Coturnix japonica: one gene and its partner. The protein of the gene in region 1 interacts with the protein of each later gene in a pairwise test. Links are inferred from orthologs where the notes say so. Each region holds a gene or a part of one and is shown in the gene's direction. Other genes may lie near its edges.

Evidence for each region.
Region 2: the proteins of BANP (region 1) and FHL5 interact in binary tests that used the Homo sapiens proteins (3 or more experiments, as listed by UniProt). The two-hybrid records come from large-scale screens. The link is inferred for Coturnix japonica from reciprocal best matches to the Homo sapiens genes BANP and FHL5.

Annotation. Positions count from the first base shown.
Region 1 is NC_029526.1:16,146,801-16,153,018, forward strand, and holds part of BANP (protein BANP), read left to right. Parts: intron 1-3,789; coding exon 3,790-3,933; intron 3,934-6,218. UniProt on the Homo sapiens protein: Controls V(D)J recombination during T-cell development by repressing T-cell receptor (TCR) beta enhancer function. Binds to scaffold/matrix attachment region beta (S/MARbeta), an ATC-rich DNA sequence located upstream of the TCR beta enhancer.
Region 2 is NC_029518.1:66,271,197-66,277,414, reverse strand, and holds part of FHL5 (four and a half LIM domains protein 5), read left to right. Parts: intron 1-2,124; coding exon 2,125-2,299; intron 2,300-3,623; coding exon 3,624-3,793; intron 3,794-4,115; exon of another isoform or gene 4,116-4,463; intron 4,464-5,848; coding exon 5,849-6,035; intron 6,036-6,218. UniProt on the Homo sapiens protein: May be involved in the regulation of spermatogenesis. Stimulates CREM transcriptional activity in a phosphorylation-independent manner.

The DNA of each region.
Region 1 (6,218 bases):
TCCTGAGACAGTTACCTGGACTGGAAGTCTGGGGGATAGAGAATGACTTGGAAACGATGGACCGTTTTCTGTGATAAGTAAAATCAGCAGAGGATGTGATGATAGGAACTGAACCATGGTTGGAAATTGTGCTGGAGTAATTTTGGAAGAAACCAAAGGAAAATCTATTATGTTTTAATCTTTTTTTTTTTTTTTTTTCATTATTATTATTATTTCCTGCCCTGGCAGTTGAATGTTGAATGGAACTCTTAGTTATGGGCAAAAATGGAAAGGAGGAGAGCAGAGAAAATAGCTGGTTTTCATTATTACTACTAATTTTATTATTACCACATTTTTCATGGCAAACTCACTGAAGACGGGGCCAAAAATAGAAATCTGGGACCTCCCAACTCAATGCTTTTATGTTTCCATCCATCCATCGAGACTTTGAAAAGAGAAGGATAGAAAAACAACGGAGGGGGAAGGAAGCAAAAAGAACCCAACAGGAGGATGGCCAAGGTTGGGGTGAATGGGAACACAGCTGGATGCTGCTGCAGGGCTCTGCGGGTCCCATCCAGCCCATGTGTTGCTGTAAGGAGGGGTGGGTGATGTCTATGGGCACAATATGCTTTATGAGAACGGAAGGGGTGCCTCCATCTCTCAGGTTGTTTTATTAGATCCATTGGCTCTTGAGCCTCATTGGAAGCACTAAGGAAAGCAGATGTTTGGTCAGAGAGGCTGCGGTTCTGTGAGTGGGCAATGCCAGGAGTTCACACTTCATTATAAACAGCTGAGCAAAATACTTTTCCTTCTGGTATTTCTAGGATGGTTGAAAATCAAAACTAATAGAAACACGCTTAGTGTTCTTTCAGAAGGAGTAAGGGAACATTTTCTTCTTCTGAGAGCTGCTGGGTACGGTGGAGGATGGGGTTCTATGGTGCTTTGTAGTTGAGGTGGGTTGTACAGCAGGTTCACCATGCAGTGTTATCATCATTGAGATGGGAAGGTTGGGAAGATCAGGCCAGGCCACCAACAGTGCTTGAAGAGCACTTTGCATCTGCATAGAGGGGTATGTAAAGGCAAGTGGAAGCTGCCTCTGAGCTGCTTGTTTGTGGGTGTCCAGAGCACGAATTAATCCCTTCTGTTAGAAGGAAAGTTTATTATTTTTCGGTTTAACCATATTCTGTTACCTGTTTTGGAGCAGCGAGGCAGGATGTTAGAGGAGCCCAGCAGAGCTCATTTCAGAGGTTCATTTTCAGGGCAGACTGTTAATTTTTGTGGTACAACTCCTTTATTTTAAGGTCAAGGGCAGGTAAGAATCACAAAGTCGATGTGTTGGTCTGGGAGCCGAGTGAGCAGCCAAAGAAAAGCCATATCCTCACACCTGCCCCTATTGCTGAGGTCTCTGTTTTACCACTCCTTCACTGCTCTACTTAAAGCCATTGATCCCTTGATATCTGTCATTTTTGCAGCCTCCCTATAAAACCTGTGGTATTGGCAAACACAATGGAATGTGAATACGAATATATTATATATAAACAATATATAAACAATATGAAATGAGGCAGATTGAAGTCATAGGGCTGGGGCTTTTATCTTGGTAAGCTTGCTCTCCCTGATTAGAGGGGGTCTGTTTGGATCCGTTTGGATCTGCTGTATGAACTCTGTCCTTTTACACATCCTAAGACAGGGAAGCTGGTGCTGTTAGCAGCTGTAGGCTTCTTTGTTGTCAAAGCAATTTGTGTGCATGAAAGGGGCTGGTTTGGTTGCTTGAAGTCATCCTGAAGTTTGTGCTTTGGAAGTTAATGAGACAAGATGCATTTTAGAGCTGCGGATAATCAATAGGACAGACTGCCATGTAGTTCTGACAGGGCGTATCATGTCGTTCCAAAGTAAATAGTGCAGGACAAGAGGCTTTTGCTTGCTCCTGTAAAAACAGAACGCAGCATCCTTTTGCAGCTCAGTGCTGACCGTATCTCGGAACACCCAAGATCCCCATAAAACCCTGCCAACACCCCAAAGGTCCTTCCTAGGGGTCACCTCTTGGCCTCCCACACTCCCCAGGGAGGGGTTGTGCTGCCCACTCCTTCACGGCCACCCACCCTCCCATCAGCTGGGAAATCATACTTGGGTAAGGGAAGCTTTTGTTCAGAATGTTATTTTTGCTCTCAGTTCTCTTTCCTCTGTTTGAAAGGCATCTTTTGAGCGCTGTGGTTCAAATACCAGAGGTAGTTAAAAACAAAACAGCGCTCACAGCATATAGAAACCTAAACGGAATTTGTGTATTTTGGCTGCATTTTGAAATGAGATCGGGGGACTTGCTGTTGTTCACATATGTATATTTTATTCTGAGTTGTACTTAAGTAGTAAATTACAGTCGCTCTCGTCACAGGGATGCATTTAAGCAAGCGATTTTGGGTGAAGCATCTGCTCTTTTGTTGCTCTTTGGCTAACAGGGGACCCAGCCTCAACCAGCCAGCATGAAGATGTGTAGAGTCAGTGGCTGCGAGCATTAATTAGCAGTAATTTGTAAATCTACACCTTCGTGTACAATGGGAAGATAAACATTGCTGCAACAAATTGTCATAAGTTGAATGTGTTTGGCTGTGAGAATAAGTATCTTGGCTCCGTCTCTCTATTTATATAACAGTGAACACATTAGCTGGGGGGTGGCTGTGTGCTATTGACATTACAGCAGCGCTGACTGCTCTGTCTGTCCCACTTACCCTTTGCAATAATCATTAGCAGAATTATGAACCCTTCATCAATTATCTTTTGCAGCGCTTAGGGAGGTGTCATTTATCATGAGGGCGGTAACAGCCCACTCCTTAGGAAAGCCACTATCTCTCGTTGGAAGCAGTTGGCCAAAAAAACCTCTTTTGAAATGTTTCCCAGCCACGGGAGCGCAATATTTCCGTGCAAAGAGACAGCAGCAAGCAAGCAAAACTGAACAAGTTCCTTTTTTTCCTCCCAGCAAACCTGGCTTCTACCCTCTGATCTTCAACCTGAAGGTGTGAGGATGCTAGAAGTGAACTCAGTGTCTGCCTTTTGTTACCCCCTCCCTCCACCCTCTCTCTTTCTGCCATCATAAAACCAAGTAGAAGGGGTTTCTAAAGCAGATTCCCCCAGTTCAGTGCTGTGGCTGCAGAGCTCATCCTATGAGGAACCTGAGCTGATGGAGCTGCTGCGCTCATCTGCCGGCTGGCAGAATAAACAGATCAGTTTTCATAGCTGCAAGCTGTGAAACAGACCATCTCATGCTTACAAACTATACAGCATAATCAGTGCTTTGGTTTTTCCCTCTCTTTGGCTTCTTAAGTCTACAAGCCTTGCTTTTGCTTGGGTTGCAGGTAGGGAATTGGATGCACTCAGAGAATATAGACGTGGTAATTGGACTGGTGACTTAGTGTGCTAACTGTTGTTAGAATGAGTTGGAATTAAAATGGACCTATTTAGCACAGGCCACCAGGATGATTTATTCCTTTGCTAGTGCTGATACAGATAGGGGATGACTTACTTTGTGTTTAGGATCATAAGGGAGCCAAACCTTTCCAGGTGTGGTGCCCGTTAACCCTTCCAGGGAATACAGGTCTCATAAGGCAAAATGCAGTGAGAATCTTATGTGAGAATCTTCCATGTGTGTACCACCTCCTTGGGACCCACATTATTTAAACTGCTACTGATGTACATATTTTCTCAAGTTTCTGTTGAATCATGTTTGGTTGTTGCATCTGTTTTCAGGTCGATGTTTCCTAATGCGTTCCTGGCTGTGCCTGTTCACAAGCTGTTTCTCCTTTGCTCTGCTTGCAGGTGTTGCAGGGTGCTCAGCTGATAGCTGTTGCATCTGCCGAGCCTGCATCAGGAGGAGTTGATGGATCCCCACTGCAAGGCAGCGATATCCAAGTCCAGTATGTGCAGCTCACACCTGTGACAGACCACTCTGCAACCAGCCAAGTATGCCTGCATATATGTGTAGAGATATGTGTATATAAATATATATGCCAAATTATTAAGATAATTTTCCTAAAGGTAAATAGTGGTTATTGACTATTCCTTCTTTGGCGTTGTTGCTCATTGCCCCCAGAGAACAGTTATTTTGGTCACCATTGTTTTTCTGCATCCTTGAGGGCTGAGAGCCATTTTTACAGGACGTGGAGGAAAAACTGGCTCGGAAACTATCCAAAAAGTGTTTTTCAGACTGAGGTTTCTCTTTAAAAAGTTATTCTCTTTCTGACAGAAGTTTTCCAGTTATTTTAATCCACAGCCTGGATTTCCCACAGGAGCTGCAATGTATGCAATTGTAAGTGAACACTCGATGGGCTCAGTTAAGGTGGAGGAGGTGTGTTTTCTTTCTTTCCTTGGTCAGTTTGAAGAGTCACGTAGCTGAGGCTGGAACCAGCCCAAAGTCATGCCTGGTGGCAGTGCAGGCATACAAAAGAAGCAGTTGTTCCATGAACCCAACTGGAGTTGGCTCCTTTCCTAAAGAATCCCTAATGCTTGTGAGAGATGTATTGGCTTACCAGCCAGGATATAATGTTATCCTCAGCAACCAATCTTAGAAGGGAATTTTGTCACGTAGATACCCAGTTTTGCAGAGAGTTCTGATCTGGCTGCAAACATTTGGATGTTGGATCTCTTGAGCTGCATAAGAAATGGAGGAAGTCACGTTCCTTCCCTAGGTTTGTCTCTGTGCTTTCAGGCCTCCTCAGTCATCGATTCACAGTCACTTGTAATAGTGTGCTGGACGACAAGAGCGTTGCTGATGGATCATGCCTTGTTTCTTGAAGCTGTGCAGTACCAAGAGTACTGCTCATCCCATGCAACTAATAGGCATATAAGTATTGGATAGCAAGAGGTGTTTCTCTCCTGCCATGCTGCTGTCCTCACTCCACTCCTTGGAGATCTCAAATCCAGCACCCACAGGCTGGGGCTGCTCCTGGAGGCTGTGCTCCCCCCTTGGCTCCCACCTCCCATGGTAGGAGGCTGTGGTTATAAACATCAGCATCCGTCTCCCACACGACTGGCATCCACCAGAGGAGCTACTTTTCTCTTCAGGGACACTTTGCACCGTGTTAGGTTTTAATATTGTGGTTAACCACAGATTTATACAGAGCTGAAGAGAAACAGAAAAGGAATGCGAAATAAGAAAAGTATGAAAGGAAAAACAGACTAAAAATAAGTTTGCCATAAATATTTCCTCGGTTTACACAAACTGGAAACCAAAGATCTGATAATGAATTGGAGAAACCAACTTGGAATTTGACGTTGTGCGGAGTTATGGGGGTAGCTGGAGCTTTTTTGGCTTAATATTGTGGAGCAATCCTAGAGACTTAGAAAGGTCTTCATCAAAAGGGAGAGGTCATGGAGGTGTCTCTCAATGGGACCGGAGCAATGGTTGTATCCATGGGGCTTCTTTGCCAAGGTGCTGAGATGTTCTCAACGACTTCGAATCCATTTATCAATCAAAGCTTTGTAAAGTGGAGTTAATTATCTGCTTGTGTTGGATGCTATTCCCTGTGCAAATTCCATGCTCATAACACCGTAAGTGTGAATTCTGACTGCAAGGCCTCCTGTTCTTGAGAGCTGTGCCTGAAGGTGGCAGGGAGCTGTTTGCAATGAGTCCCTTCTCTGTCTGCAGCTGAAGCGCATGGCGCTGCACACCTCAATTCAGTGCTCTCAGTGCAGTGCATGAGTTTGCATTTGCATATTGGCTGTAGAAGTAAGAATCCCAAGTATTCCAAAAGGCTCTTAGTTCCCTTATGGCACAACTATAAATATGAGCCATTAATGTGCTAACATTCTTTTGCAGGCGATTTCAAACCTAAACTGTGCTTCTGTTCCCTTTTGGGCAACCTTCTATGTTAGTCTGAACTTTGGGTAAATATTCAGCGTTACCGTTCTGTTATTTGGTAGTTATTTAAATTCCATTAAGTTTTCATCTACTGGGAGAGAAAACCTGCATCACTTGAAGACTTTCCTGCTAACAACTGAGGCAGTATGTTCGGATTATCCCCTGCTTTGACACTCATCTATTGACAGTGATCTATTGACACCACTTTACCAAAGGTGTAAATAAGTGCTGAATTACCTCTAGAGCGGAATGGTGACAGAAGTGGTGTGCAATTACTGGCTGTAAATCAGAGAGGCAGAGAGAAAATCTCCCAGGCAAATCGTCGCATAGAAGCAGTGCTTTATGATTTTGAACCTCCCGTATTCTCATGTAAATAAATAATCTGTGG
Region 2 (6,218 bases), on another chromosome or scaffold:
AGAACAGGAAATCCAGATGAGGAAATCTGCTTGTACATGCACCTCAACTATCCTCTATAGATGTGGTATATGAACAGACCACATCTGGATTCCATCCCTCACTTCTGCTTGCTCAACAGCAGTAGAAGCTGCACAGAGCTTGAGGGACTTGAGGGGTTGCTCAAGTCCACTATATTTCAGTGGATTAAGTTGAGGGAAGTTTTGGAAGTTGAGAGATAGCCCCTGAAAAAATTGTCTGCAGCTATTCTGCAAGTTATTTCAACTGTAAGTGCTGACATACAGATATCAAGATGTAAAGAAACAATGTTTATAATATATTTATCTTTTACTTTTGGAAAAGAAGTATATTTTCATTTTAACTTAATTTCGTGCTCACCATGTTTACCTCAGATGAAATGTGACTGGCAGTGTTTCTGGGCTTGGCCTTCCACTTGTACTCTTTGATCTTTGACAGGGCTTCCAGCATCCTTTAACTCAATTTACAGCCTTTTGCACTTACAATTTTAAAAGACGAAACCTATCATAAACCTCTGATTTTGCTGAGTTTAGTTTGTACTGCTTGCTCACCTTCTCCCCATGCTCATTTTGATTATGTTCTTTTGAAATAAAAGAACCTATTGAATCTCACCACTAAACCATGTCCCTTCGTGCCACAATAAATGCTAGAACATAAAGTTATTAAAGTAAATCTCACAGGAGATTTCCCCAGCCAATATACTTTTGGCTCTCAAAGTATATTGTCTGAGTACAGCTCAGTTCCATGGAGGAGTAGTCAAAGGAAAAAACTGATATGAGTGATGACTGTTTGCAAATGCTCACCAGTGTTTTTTAGTTGCAAACTTGTATGCTCCAGTCACTGTCATCTGGAGAACATGTGATCTGAGCTCACTAACCCCACTTCTACAATTTAAACTTTAATAAGTGGCAGGACTAGTGAGATAAAAGGTCACTAAAATAAAAACTGTGTCTTTGGACTGAGTGGAAGGAAAAACAGAAAGAAAAAAGCAGGGGTAACAAGAAAGGAGTGTCACAGCTAAAGAAGTGACCTACAGAGCTATGCAGCAGGTTGTCCAACCTCTGCCAGGCTGTTGGAGCTTGGTTCTCTTCCTCTCCTTCTTATCCATTTCTTGTCTAGTGTGAGAGACCATTTTCTAAAAGGTTCAGAGTGCTAACTAAAGGAAATGAAAGTTCTCAGCACTCAGCAATGCCCCAAATGAACCCTGGTATGTATTTCATTTCTCATATTAGCATTTTAAGGAGTGGGGAACTGACAAAGTAGAAAAATGAGATTGGCTTTGTGCCTTTATGTACTTCTTACTTATAAAGAAGACCTGGAAAAATATGGTTAATTTTTTAAGGATTATTATTCTTCTGGTGATGCATTTTTCTCCTTGTATTTCCTAACCTTGGAAAAATAAAATCTGATGCTTGCTTTTTTATTATTATTTAATTATTAGTGGAGGCCTCATACTTATACTGCTGTTTCACCTCTTAAGCCTGCTGAGTCTTAAACAAATATATTTCTGCCAGATCTTTTAGAGGGAGTTATATTAGGTGTAAACAAAAGCAATGGTTTTTTAATATGTGTCCTAAGAACCATTTTGTTCTCTATTAATGAGATTTTAATTGCTTGTTCTCTGCAATAATATGATTGTTCTTTAGTGTTATGTAGAGTTATGCAGTGTTATGTAGAGTCAGCTGGAAGGAAAAGTAGTAACATTAAAAAATGCATGAAGTTCTACTTAAAAGTCTGTAGAGAATACACTTCTTGTCAGGAGGCCTCTGCACATTAAAAATGTTAATTACCCACTTCTCCTTGAAGGCCAACAGTAAAAAATATATGATGGGTCTTCCAATATAAACATCTCTCTGATGTTGTATGCTGAGGGACAATTGCCTCAATTGCCTGTGCCAAAGCAGTGCCTGTGCCTAATGGCCTAACAAGAGAGTTGCAAAATACCCTGACACAGTGACTTTGAGCACTAATATTGCCTTTGAGCTGGATGCAGCTCTTGAAGTTGACACTGCAGAGCTCTGCATTTTTCTCTTCAGTTCTGGGAGGAGATGAGGGAAAAGAACACTGTAAAGAAATGCCTTTGTTAACATGCACTCACTTTCTCCAAGGATCTAGCCTACAAAGGCCGCCACTGGCATGAGAGGTGCTTCAAGTGCACCAAATGCAGCCGCTCTCTGGTAGAGAAACCATTCGCTGCCAAGGATGAGCTCTTGCTCTGTACTGAATGCTACTCCAATGAATATTCATCAAAGTGTTTCCACTGCCAGAAGACCATTATGCCTGGTAAGACAACAGGGATCCTCCTGTGGAAAATGGAGCTGCATTTTCAATTAAAATCACATCCTCAAATAACCCAGCTACAATAGCGCAGCTTACTGGACTGCTGCTCCCTCCTACAGTACCCTGCCAGCAGGAAAGACAGGCCCTCTGGTCTAGCATTGGCAGGACTTATGAATCCTCATAAAGAATATTAGAGTTTAAAATAGAATAAAATGTGTTCATGCTGTGACCTTGATTCTGCCTGTAGTTCTTAGGAAGTGCATCCCACTGTGAGTATAGGTGGACAAACAGCAATCATCAGCAGGAGTGCTGAGATAAACAAGAGATCTGCATTTAGCCTGTCACGTTGGCAAGGCCTTCAGAACTAGAACTAGCTTACATTCTTTATAAACCACTTCTTTTGCACAGAAATACCTTACACTTCACTTGTCAAAACACTAAGTTCTGTGTTCAAATAATTATTAGTATTTTTACTACAAAACACATATGGATTTGTTTATAACAGGTTTGGCACCGTAAGTGCCAAAATGGAGTAGCTTGCCAAGGAGAGTCAGTACCAAACTATTGGAGCAGTGGACTACCCTAAATCCTTAAGCTTTTTTTACAGATGATTCAAATACCAGCAGCAAACTGTGTGCTGTGGCCTTGTGATTACTAGTTAGGACCATGAAAAATTATTGTCTTTTATATAAATACTAGGTTACTGGTATCCTAGTTCAGCCTGTAGCATTGAAAGCATGTACTTTTACACTTGTATTTCTTTTCTTCTTTGTCACAAGTAAGACATGCTAGTAGAAATTAACGTTGTAGTAATATAGTTGTGTTCATTGTAGGGTTGATACACTGCTTAAATGTGGTATATTGTTAGAATGTTGTCTAATAGAGAGGCAATAGTGCAATCAAAAGTGAAAGAAATTTCGTTTAAAGAAGATAAAATACATTAATATTTATACTAAACATCCAAACAAATTCATATTTAATTTATAGAAGTGCTATGTACCTGAACATCACATCATCACTGGGCTGTCTGGTCTGAGAGTAACTATGAGCAACTGGAGTGTATAACAGAGCAGTAACTCTAAAAGAGTAAAATAAGCATGGAATAAGAAAAAAATCACATTTTAGGCCACCTAGTGTGCCCTTTGCCAGTTGATCATAGAATACTGAATGAGTTTTTGAGATTAGCTAACATACTTAAAAACTATGAAATTGAAAGTAAGCGTTTTGGGGGATAATAAAATATTAAGACAGGAGATGAAAAATGAGACATTTAAAACCTTTTCTGCAAGACTGTACCTGGGAGCATTATTTGTGTTGGTTTTTGCAGGTTCCCGTAAAATGGAATTTAAGGGCACTTCCTGGCACGAATCCTGTTTTGTTTGTCAGTATTGCCAGCAACCACTGGGAACTAAACCACTGATCACCAAAGACAATGAGAATTACTGCGTGCCCTGTTTTGAGAAACAATTTGCTCATCATTGCTACTCTTGCAAAAAGGTAATTTCAAAAGAAAAACAAAAGGTAGCATACTACAATCTATGTTATTTTTGGTCAAGACCAGGTTGTCCAACAGCAAAAGTACACCAACAGAGACTCTTTCTACAGTCTATAATGTGCATGTTTAAAACAACCTCTGCAAATTCACAGTTTCATTCTCACCTGGAGATCTGAAATCTAGGTCTGCACCACACAATGGGTAAAAAAGAAAATATCAAAACATGTGAATTCTTAGATTAGCTCATTTCAAATATTCTGTAAAAGAACTGAAGATCAAAAAAAAAAAAAAAAAAGGGAGGGGGTTGAGAGGGAAGGGAATTACCTGTTGGAATTCTTGAAGACAAGTTGCACAGCTAACGAAGTTCAGACAGCATGCTTATATGCTTAGTATATTTTTAGTGCTTTACTCTAAACAAAACAGAAAAAGCAGGGAAAATGATCTTGAAATCAACAGAACCTCTTATCAACTACAAAAGCTTGTAATTGCTTTTAGCTCCTTTTCAGGAGCACCTGTGGGCTGTATAGTCTCTCTAATGGGTATTCATACCACCTGTTTTAAAGTATTTAATGTTGATGCTTCGATTGATGCCTGTCGTCTCTTTTTCAACAGTAGAGCACTCAAAGCATTTAGGAGAGCATCTGGGAGAACATAATGAACTTATGGTTCTCTGACATATTCCTGAGTTGTATGGATGAAGTTTGAAAGCTTTAATAATTAATGCCAGTTAACTTTCCTTATTCATGGAAATGTTGGTTGTAAGTTATGGAGATAAATACATCTAACTTCAGATACCAAAGAAAGATACTTATGCTCCTTAGTGAAGCAGTATTGCTCATGGAGGAAGGAGCAGCATCATGGAAAATGTTTGGTGAACTGATAGAAAAAGTCAAGTCTTCCCTTTGGCATTGATATTGGACACTGAAAGCTGACTGTGACATTGTTTGCTGTTCTCTTCCTTATAATTGATAAACAAGTTTATAGCAGCCTGTTTATTATTATATTTGTCATAAGTTTGTTCACCAAAGCAAATATAGTGGGGTTATTTTGTTAATGGTTGTGATTTTTAACAAAGTTCAATAATTATAATCAGTACTATTTAGTTGTGGTAATACAAGTCAAGTTTCCCAATATTTTAGAACACAGAGTTTCTTCTTTGGGTACCAGAAAGCTTGATTTCAAATGAGTTGATCTTTCTTCTTCCAAATACAAATAAATCATTTTATCTCTCCCTCAATTTCTCCTGTTTTAAAATTGTCTCAAGTTGATGAAAACACCCAATAATCTGATTCTGTTCTCTAGGGAATTGATTTAAGCTGCTTTTTATGACAAAATTTTGTTTATACTTTTGTATCTCATTCATTCATTCATTCATTCATTCATTCATTCATTCATTCATTCATTCACTCTCATACATATGTCTTGGCAGTAGAAATACCACCTTACATCTCATTTCATTTCTAGAAAAATTCCTTTATACAATCGCTGATAACTTCAGTGAAACCTACTCTTGATCGCACTTATAAAAGCCACAGAGCAGCTGGAAATTTCCCCCTTCAGATATAACCAATAGAGAGCTTTGAGTGAGTTGCAGGGAATGATAAATTTGATGACACTGACAAACACAAGTTTTATTTTCTTCTGACAGTGTAGAGCTCCTTTCTGTCCTATTTCTGCTTCTTTTCTGCCTCCTACATAAAATACTGTTTGAGTTTCAAGACAGCAGAATATCAATTCCATTTGGAGATTAACCCTCAACTCATTATCAGTTCTACCAGCCACTCTCCATCACTGAGAACTGTATGAGTATGAAGAATATGCCTGATGCTGCTCAGCCTTCACCCAAAGTTTCATAACAAGACAACCTGTTATATTATAAGCTGTAAGGTTTGTACACTGGTGTGTTCAGATCAGCTGCAGTGAGTCAAATTGAGATGACGCTGTCTCTCTTACGCATATTGTAAGGGAAAAAAACAAGTGGAAGGACTTGTGAAATACTTGATAATCCTTCATGATCCTTTGTTTCATTACTTTGTTCTGTTTTGTCACAATTTTAGGTAATAACTTCTGGGGGAGTGGCCTACCATGACCAGCCTTGGCATAAGGAGTGCTTTGTGTGTTCTGGATGTAAAACTCAGCTGTCTGGGCAAAGGTTTGTTTCCAAAGATGAGTATCCATACTGTGTAGACTGTTTCAGCAAGTTTTATGCTAAGAAGTGTGCTGCTTGCAAGAAACCTATTACAGGTGAGTGTTATCTTATAGAAAGGTCTTGATACTGTGGAATTGTAGTTTCCTCTCAAATCAGATGTTCAGTTTAAAGAACAGCATTAAAAATAGTCCCATCATAATTAAAGACTGAAGGAGTTAGGTACAACGGAGGCCCCACCCTATGCAGCGCAGCATGTCTTGCTTAGACATACTGATTAT